Callithrix jacchus: one gene and its partner. The protein of the gene in region 2 interacts with the protein of the main gene of each other region in a pairwise test. Links are inferred from orthologs where the notes say so. Each region holds a gene or a part of one and is shown on either strand. Other genes may lie near its edges.

What was found.
Region 1: the proteins of SDCBP2 (region 2) and ZCCHC10 interact in binary tests that used the Homo sapiens proteins (3 or more experiments, as listed by UniProt). The two-hybrid records come from large-scale screens. The link is inferred for Callithrix jacchus from reciprocal best matches to the Homo sapiens genes SDCBP2 and ZCCHC10.

What each region holds. Positions count from the first base shown.
Region 1 is NC_133503.1:75,432,629-75,435,806, forward strand, and holds the end of ZCCHC10 (zinc finger CCHC domain-containing protein 10), read left to right. Parts: intron 1-416; coding exon 417-684; 3' UTR 685-2,274; downstream 2,275-3,178.
Region 2 is NC_133506.1:9,012,884-9,017,461, reverse strand, and holds the start of SDCBP2 (syntenin-2), read left to right. Parts: upstream 1-1,610; 5' UTR 1,611-1,762; coding exon 1,763-1,827; exon of another isoform or gene 1,828-1,851; intron 1,852-3,369; exon of another isoform or gene 3,370-3,455; coding exon 3,456-3,528; intron 3,529-4,212; coding exon 4,213-4,282; intron 4,283-4,578.

The DNA.
Region 1 (3,178 bases), on a different chromosome or scaffold from region 2:
AAAGCTCAGTATATACATATATATATATAATCGGAATCATGTAAAATTGCTTTTGGCCAGGCACGATGGCTCATGCCTGAAATCCCAGCACTTTGGGAGGCCGAGGCAAGTGGATCACTCAGTCAGGAGTTCAAGACCAGCCTGGCCAACATGGTGCAACCCCGTCTCTACTAAAAATACAAAAATTAGCTGGGCGTAGGTACACGCGCATGTTATCCCAGGTACTTGGGTGGCTGAGGCAGGAGAATTGCTTGAACCTGGGAGGCAGAGGTTACAGTGGGTCAAGATTGCGCCACTGCACTCCAGCCTGGGCGACAGAGCAAGACTCCATCTTAAAAAGAAAATAAAAAAGAAATTGCTTTTAACATTCTATTAAATGTGCCTTCCAATATATTTAATTGTGTATTGTCTAATAGGTCTAAGAGTGTAACCAGTTCAAGTAGCAGTAGCAATGGCAGTTCAGCCAGTGATTCTTCATCAGAAAGTGAAGAAACATCTACCTCATCCTCCTCAGAGGACAGTGACACTGATGAAAGCTCCTCTAGTTCCTCATCCTCAGCCTCCTCCACAACCTCATCCTCCTCCTCTGATTCAGACTCAGATTCCAGTTCTTCTAGTAGCAGCAGCACCAGCATGGATAGCAGCTCTGAGGATGAACCACCAAAGAAGAAGAAAAAGAAATAGTTGTTCCATCCATATTGGACTGATGGACCGAAAACATTAATGTGATTCTTGAAAGGGAATTTAGAATATGTTAAGGCCAAATAGGTTAACTGGTGAAAATTTTTAGAATTCAAAAGTTTCTAAATGTTTTATATTGCAAGAGCATAAAGAGTATTAATAATGAATTATATATAGAGAGAGACTTTTTTATTTGAAGGGTGAATCCTGTTTTTCATTTTTTTCTTTAAAATATCTCTCTAGAACTTAAAGCTGAAATCTCCAAATCTGTTTGTGTGATGAAACTATCTTTTCTTTCTGTGAAATAAATGCCATACTTTGTTATATATGTTAGTGGTATATACCAGACATATTTTCAGGATGGTGCATCAGAATATTTGGCAGTGAATTTCTAATGCTTTTGGCTATGAATTATGTAAGATTTAATATATTGTTACTGTAAGCATAGGAGTTTTCCTATTGTTAATAAATGTGCTCTATTTTTACATTTATGTTCAGAAAGTTATTCTGACTTTTTGTCCTAAGTGGTATGTTCAAGGAGCCTATTAATATATTTATAGTTTTTGAATGCTACAAGTTTCAAGTTGCTGTGTTACATCATTCATTTTCTTCTGGTTCCTTAAGTTTTTCAAGTTATCCTTTTATAAGGAAAATTTTTCTAGAGGAACCTAAAAAGGGAGAAAAAATCTGAAACTACTTAGGAGTGTAATCTTGGTGCCTTCCGACAGTCAGTGTATCAGAAAAGAAAGCAGCCATGTAAGAGGCTAACTTAAGCAGAAGTACTAGAAATATCTTCGTGTATTAACATGCAATAAAAGGTACCATTCAAAGCAGGGGAAAGGTAGGAGGAAGAGGTAATTTTTACTGCAAATTAGGGCAGCCTTGGTCACCTTTTATTAAAAGCTTTTTTAAGCTTTCATAAAGATTGCCTTTTGTTATTTTTGCAATTATTATAGTATAGTTTATATGCTAACTAGTCATTTAACAGTCTAGTGCATAAATATGAATGACTAGGATTAATCTGGTGTGGTTACATAGGATATACATAGTTGAAATCTAGCATGAAAGGCTAAAAAGAAAATGCTGCACAATATTTCTTTAAAAATAAAATGTTACTGAGGCAAGAGTCTTTGGTTTAACATCACAGTATTCTGTGATGTCTTTTTAACTTTTTGGAAAGAGGTATCATTTGTAGAAAAATTTTGATTTGGGTTAAATACAGGTTTTTAAAACTATAAATGTCTTATATTTTTATGAAAAAGCAGTGGAAAATTACTTTTGAAGAAAATTAGCTATTTAAATATTAAAATATACGTATGTTGTGAGTTTAGGGAACCTGTAATTACTTGTCGGTTTTACAAAACCATCTGTGTTCAGTGGTTGTAAATAAATTCTCAAAACAATTTCAAAAGCTGCCTACAGAATATTATCACTTGACAGATAAAGTTAATAAATTACCAATCAGGCACATTTGATAATGTTTGTCTCTGTAAAGGTAATGTGAGCAGTTAAAGAACATGGATGAGAAAAGAATGTGTTAACATAGGTTGCATCACTTGCAGTTAAATAAAACTCAACAATTTGTGCTCACAAGCTTCAGCTTCTGTTATCTCTTTACTGTTTTATTTAATCCCAATTCTTACTCCATTTGAGATGTAAGGGCATTTGAACAAATTCTAATTTTAAAGTTTTACTATTAGGGCTGTTAAAAGTATGACTGGGCCAGATGCAGTGGCTCACACCTGTAATCCCAGCACTGGGAGGCCAAGGTGGGTGGATCATTAGGTCAGGAGTTCGAGACCAACCTGGCCAAGGTGGTGAAACCCCATCTCTACTAAAAAATAAAAATAAATAGCCAAGCACAGTGGTGCCCACCACTGTGATCCCAGTTACTCAGTAGGCTGAGGCAGGAGAATCGCTTGAACCCCAGAGGCAGAGGTTACAGTGAGCCAGGATTGCGCCACTGGGCTCTAGCCTAGGCTAGAGAGCAAGACTCTTGTCTCAAAAAAAGAAAGTATGACTGAGAGGTACAGAGAGCAGGAGCTCAATTCTTCTAGTACATTTCTTTCATTCAAAAAGAATCAGGCTGGTCACAGTGGCTCATGCCTATAATCCCAACACTTTAAGAGGCTCAGATGGGAGAATCACTTGAGTCCAGGAGTGTGAGACCAGCCTGGGCAACATAGTAAGACTTCTTCTCTACAAAAAATTGAAAAAAATTGAAAAATTTGTTGGGCATGGTGGTGTGCCCCTATAGTCTCAGCTACTCAGGAGACTGTGGCAAGAGAATCACTTGAGCTGAGGTGGTTGAGGCTGCAGTAAGCTGTGATTGTGCCACTGCAGTCCAGCCTGGGTGACAGAGTGAGAAAAAACAAAATCAATGGCAAAGTGGATACTAACTTTGAAAAGTTTTGTTTTTAGTCCTGCCTAAAATCAGGACTCTGGAAGTTGAGTCCCTGGCAAATACAGTGAGTATATTACTTAACCGCAATCATAT
Region 2 (4,578 bases):
GCTTTTCCACTCCTTGCAGAAATAGTAACAAGACGCCTGTTGTGTGCCAGGCACTGTGCACAGCACTGGGGGTTAACAAATGAGTGACATTTCCTGACCAGTGAGGGAGATGAGCAAACAAACACAGCACACTGGAAATCCAACCCAGGAAATGCAGAAGGCCTTGCTCACAATAGGTGATTAACAAACATTTGTGGAATGAATGATGAAGAGGCAAATATAAGAAATGCTGTAGTCTACAGAAGGGAGGCTTGCCAATCTCCATGGGTACATGTGGTTGTGGGGGAAAGCTCTGAATTGGAGGAAGAAGAGTTCACAACAAGGAAAAGAGAGAAGGCATGAATGACATTTAAGACAGAGGGAGCAGCACCTGCAAACGCATGGAGGCATGAACTAGCAGGTTGAGTTTTAGGACTCAACCTAAAGCAGTCTGGAGTAAATGAACTCCATGATGAGTGTGGCAAAGCGTGAGTTGGTGAGATTACAAACATTACCAGAAGTCAGGTCACAGAAATTCGAGGGCAGGAACTAGGTATGGCTGCAGAAGGGAAAGGGAGGAGCCGAGGATAACGCCCAGATTTCTGGCACAGCCCTGGGTGGATTTAGTGGGACTGCTGTGGAGGCGCAGCAGCTGCTGGGGAGAATTATGAGTCCAGTTTGGATAACATGCAGGAGGTAAACGGGATCCAGAAGGCAACTAGACTCTCAGGCCCGGGCCTCCCTGTCCCTGGAACAGCACCCTCTTTTCACCCACTTGAATATCCATCCTACATGGCCCAGTCTTCTTCCTCCCTCCAGGAGACCTTCCAGATTGCCCTAGCCTTTTTCCTATACGCCAGACCCAACTGTCTGAGTCCCTCATAACTGGCTTTTGGTCTGATTTTGCTGCGGGAACTGATTTACCCGGCGAAGCCAAGAACCCTTCCCTAGGCAGCAGAGGCCCAATCAGTCACTGGTAGGTGGGACCCGAGGCGAATCTGCGTAGGATAGGGCGGGGCCTTTTTAGCTTAGCAATGGGTCAGAAGTCACTGCCAGACAAGAAACGGGTGAGAGGGTGGGAGGAAGGGTGACGTCACAATTGGTAGGAAATACCTTGGGACCTGACGCCTCCGAAACCAAAGGGCGCGCAAGAGCAGCCTGGAGCTCACGGGTCGGTCTGGTTCTCCTCCTTTCCCACGGCTGCCTTAGTACAGAATCTTATAAGTCCTCCTTCGGAGGCTAAAATGGTGTTCAGAGGCCAGGGGAGTTTAAAGCTCGATTTCACCCTCGCAGCCTCCAATCCGGTAAAGAGGGGCCGCGGAGCCCGACCGAGCCTTCCTATCCCTTTACTCTGGTGCTTTACCTGATTTATTTTTGTGGATGCCGGCGCCAGCTACGGGTGCCCAGAGAAAGCACGAGACCGGGCGGACTCTAGTAACCCACCCGACCAACAACCCACGCGGCATGGAGGCCGCCATTTTCCACTCCGCAGCCGCCAGAGATCGTGGGAGTCACGCCTAGCCGCGCCTGAGTCCGGGTGGGCGAGACGCACTCCAGACACTGCCGCGTCACTTGGCGGGGTTTCTGCGCAGGCGCCGTAGCTCTTAGCAACCGCCGTAACCTGTAGCAACGGGGAGATGTCGCTTCCGGCTGGTTTGGGGCGGCGGCGGGGGTTGTGGGAGTTTCGAGATCGTGGAACGATGTGACAAATGGGAAACTGAGGCCAGGGTGGAGGCAGGCCCTAAGGACCGCGTTGGCCCTCTCTCCTGGACTCGCGCAGTGGATGGAGCTTGTGCCTCGTGGCTCCTATTTCCCAAAGCAGGAAATTGAGGCCAAGGGAAGGGGCAGGTTTGTCCCGAGTCTATAGCCTAGGTGATGGTTCCCCCGGGTAAAAAAATCAATATGAGGCCCTGTCTTTATAAAGGAGAAGTCAGGGAAATGAAAGCAATTTCTAATAAAAGAATATGCATTTCACTTTGTAAAAGCTGAGGCTGGCTTACACCCGATCATGCTTATACCTAACTTAGGAGTCAGCTTAGATCTACTGGAAGAGAATATTCAGCTGGATTTTGCCAACAGTTTATATCTGACATCTTGAATCAAAGGCTAAATATATTTGTGTAGAAGCGTGGAGCCACTCTGACAGCTACACATGCTCACAGACGTGGGCATGCTGTTCTAGTGACTCACCCATGGTGAGCAGGGTGGGCAGTGATTTTCTAGAATGGTGAGCACAGTGTAACTCCCCACAACTAACCTACTGTATGCATTTCCAGACAATCTTGTCTGTATTAAAACTAGGGAAAAATTCACTGTGATTGTATATTCAACCAACTATAACAGATTTTTGGCCTATTTGAAGGTTTGATCTGAAAGTTGTGTGGGACAGGACCATTTGTTGTGGTGACTGTAATGGACTGTCCCATCCATTACAGGAGTTTCATATCCTGCCCCCCTCCCAGGGATATGACTGTCCCCTCAGTCTTGTGACACCCAAAAATACCCGCACAAATTTCCAATCTGTTCCTTGGAAAACCACTGATTTATTCAGTCAAACAATTTCTGCTAGCACACGTGTGCTGGGCAGTGTCGTGGTGGGAAAGGATCGAGTGTGAACAGGACAGAGCTCCTGCCCTTGTGAGTGAAGTCACATCACCCCAGCACAGGCCCCTCAGTTTCCTGTGCCACCAGCAGGCATGCCTTTGTCATGTGTACCTGTCACATGTGGGTTCAGTGGGGTGAACAGGACACACCTTGACCCCTCAGAACTGAAGTCAGCATAATTAGTGAGTTCAGGCGGGAGACTGAAATTCAGCCCAGCACTGTCCCGGGGCAGTGACCGTGCTGCCTGGGAGCCAGGGGAGGCCTGTCCCACAGGAACTGAGGGTGACCAAGAAGGGATCCATTGAAGTAGACTGCCTCGGCGAAGCCTGGAGGAGTGACAGAGCCAGTGGTTAGTGGGTAAAGGAAGGAACCCAGAAAGGCAGACTGCTTCCCCACATTTCGTCAGGAAGGAAATAAAACATGTCTTGAGACGTCATCATTCCTTTCACTTTCTCTGGGCACCTTGCTCAGAGACCCTGCTGATTCTCCCCAGGACAATGAGAAGGTGTTTAGTGAATGAATGTTCAGGGTGCCTCTCCATCCCCCATTCCTGCCTCCCTCTGAGCAGTGCTCTGTTGAGTGTCTATGTTCTGCTACAGTTTGTGTGATAGTCTTTATAAATTTCCTACTGGTCTTACTTCACTGTGGCCAAGATTAAAAGTTGACAGTAAGGCTGGAGATGGGTGGAATACAGTAGAGCTCCAATATTGAGAGGGAATTCGGGGCGGAGTTCCGGGAGGGATTCTAAGTGCCCTGATGCCTTTCTGTTTGAATATTAACTTCCAGCCCGCTTGCTGTTACAAATGTCTTTGACTCCTCTCAAGGGGGCATGAGCTTTGTCTTCATCCCTCCCCACCCTCTGCGCTCTGCAGGGTGTTCCGAGAAGCAGCCATGTCGTCCCTGTACCCATCCCTGGAGGACCTAAAAGTGGACCAAGCCATTCAGGTAAGTCGCCAGGCGCTGAAGGGGACCTTGAGGATTACCCTGGAAGGAGCTGGGTATTGGGGCCACTTGGAAATTCCTGTAGGCCTCAGGGCATGTAGGTCTCCACTGCAGGGCCTGCTGGGCAGAGAAGGCATCTGGAGGCAATGCCAGTGGTGTTACAGAGAGAATGGACGAGACCACGCAGCTGCACACATGCCTCTCTCATTCCCGCTCTGGCCCGCCCAGTCCCAGCTCTCCCTCCGTCCAGGATGGGCAGGCCCCATGCTCTGAGGCAGGCTTTCAGAGGAAACAAGACTCTGGGTGTGGGAATTGGCCTGCTCAGCCCCAGTGCCCCCTTGTCCCTCCATCCCAGCACTCTGTGGTTCCAGTGGGTTTTGAGAATTTGGAACTTCTCAGCTGAGAATTTGATTGGGAGATGGGCCTTGATGTTCTTCCTTCTGCAGGCAGTAAATGAGTTGTGGCATATGGTGGGTCACAGTCCTCAGAACTTCCTCCCAGGAAAAGACACATCTGCAGAGGCCACATTTATGTGATCTTGAGCCCTGAGGGTTGGTGGACGCTCCCCCCTCACACCCGGGGCCCACTCACATACCTGATGCCCAGACCCTGGCCTCGTGCAGCTCCAGGCTCTGGGGTTCCTGGAGTCCTGGCCACAGCTGACCAGTGCTCCCTGCCCCTTTCTAGGCCCAGGCCAGAGCCTCACCCAAGATGCCAGCCCTGCCAGTCCAGGCGGCAGCCATTTCTCCAACACCAGGTGAGTGAGCTGGGTTGGGGGGCTCCTGGGTGCCCAGTCCGTTCAGGGAAGAGGTCATCAGGGAAGCTTGGCAATGCCAAAGGTATGGGAGGCTCCTAGGTTATGATTCAACATGGCAGAGGAAAGGACCAGGCTTCCATTTGCTACCCACATGTTACTGCCTGGGTGACCTGGGCCGAGGCACTTCACTTCCCAGAGCCTGTGCCCATGCTGCTCCCTTCCTACCCGATGGCCTGGCGAACTCCTGTTTATCGTTCCAAACCCAACTTAGAGTTAGGGAAGCTGGGTCTTCTCTG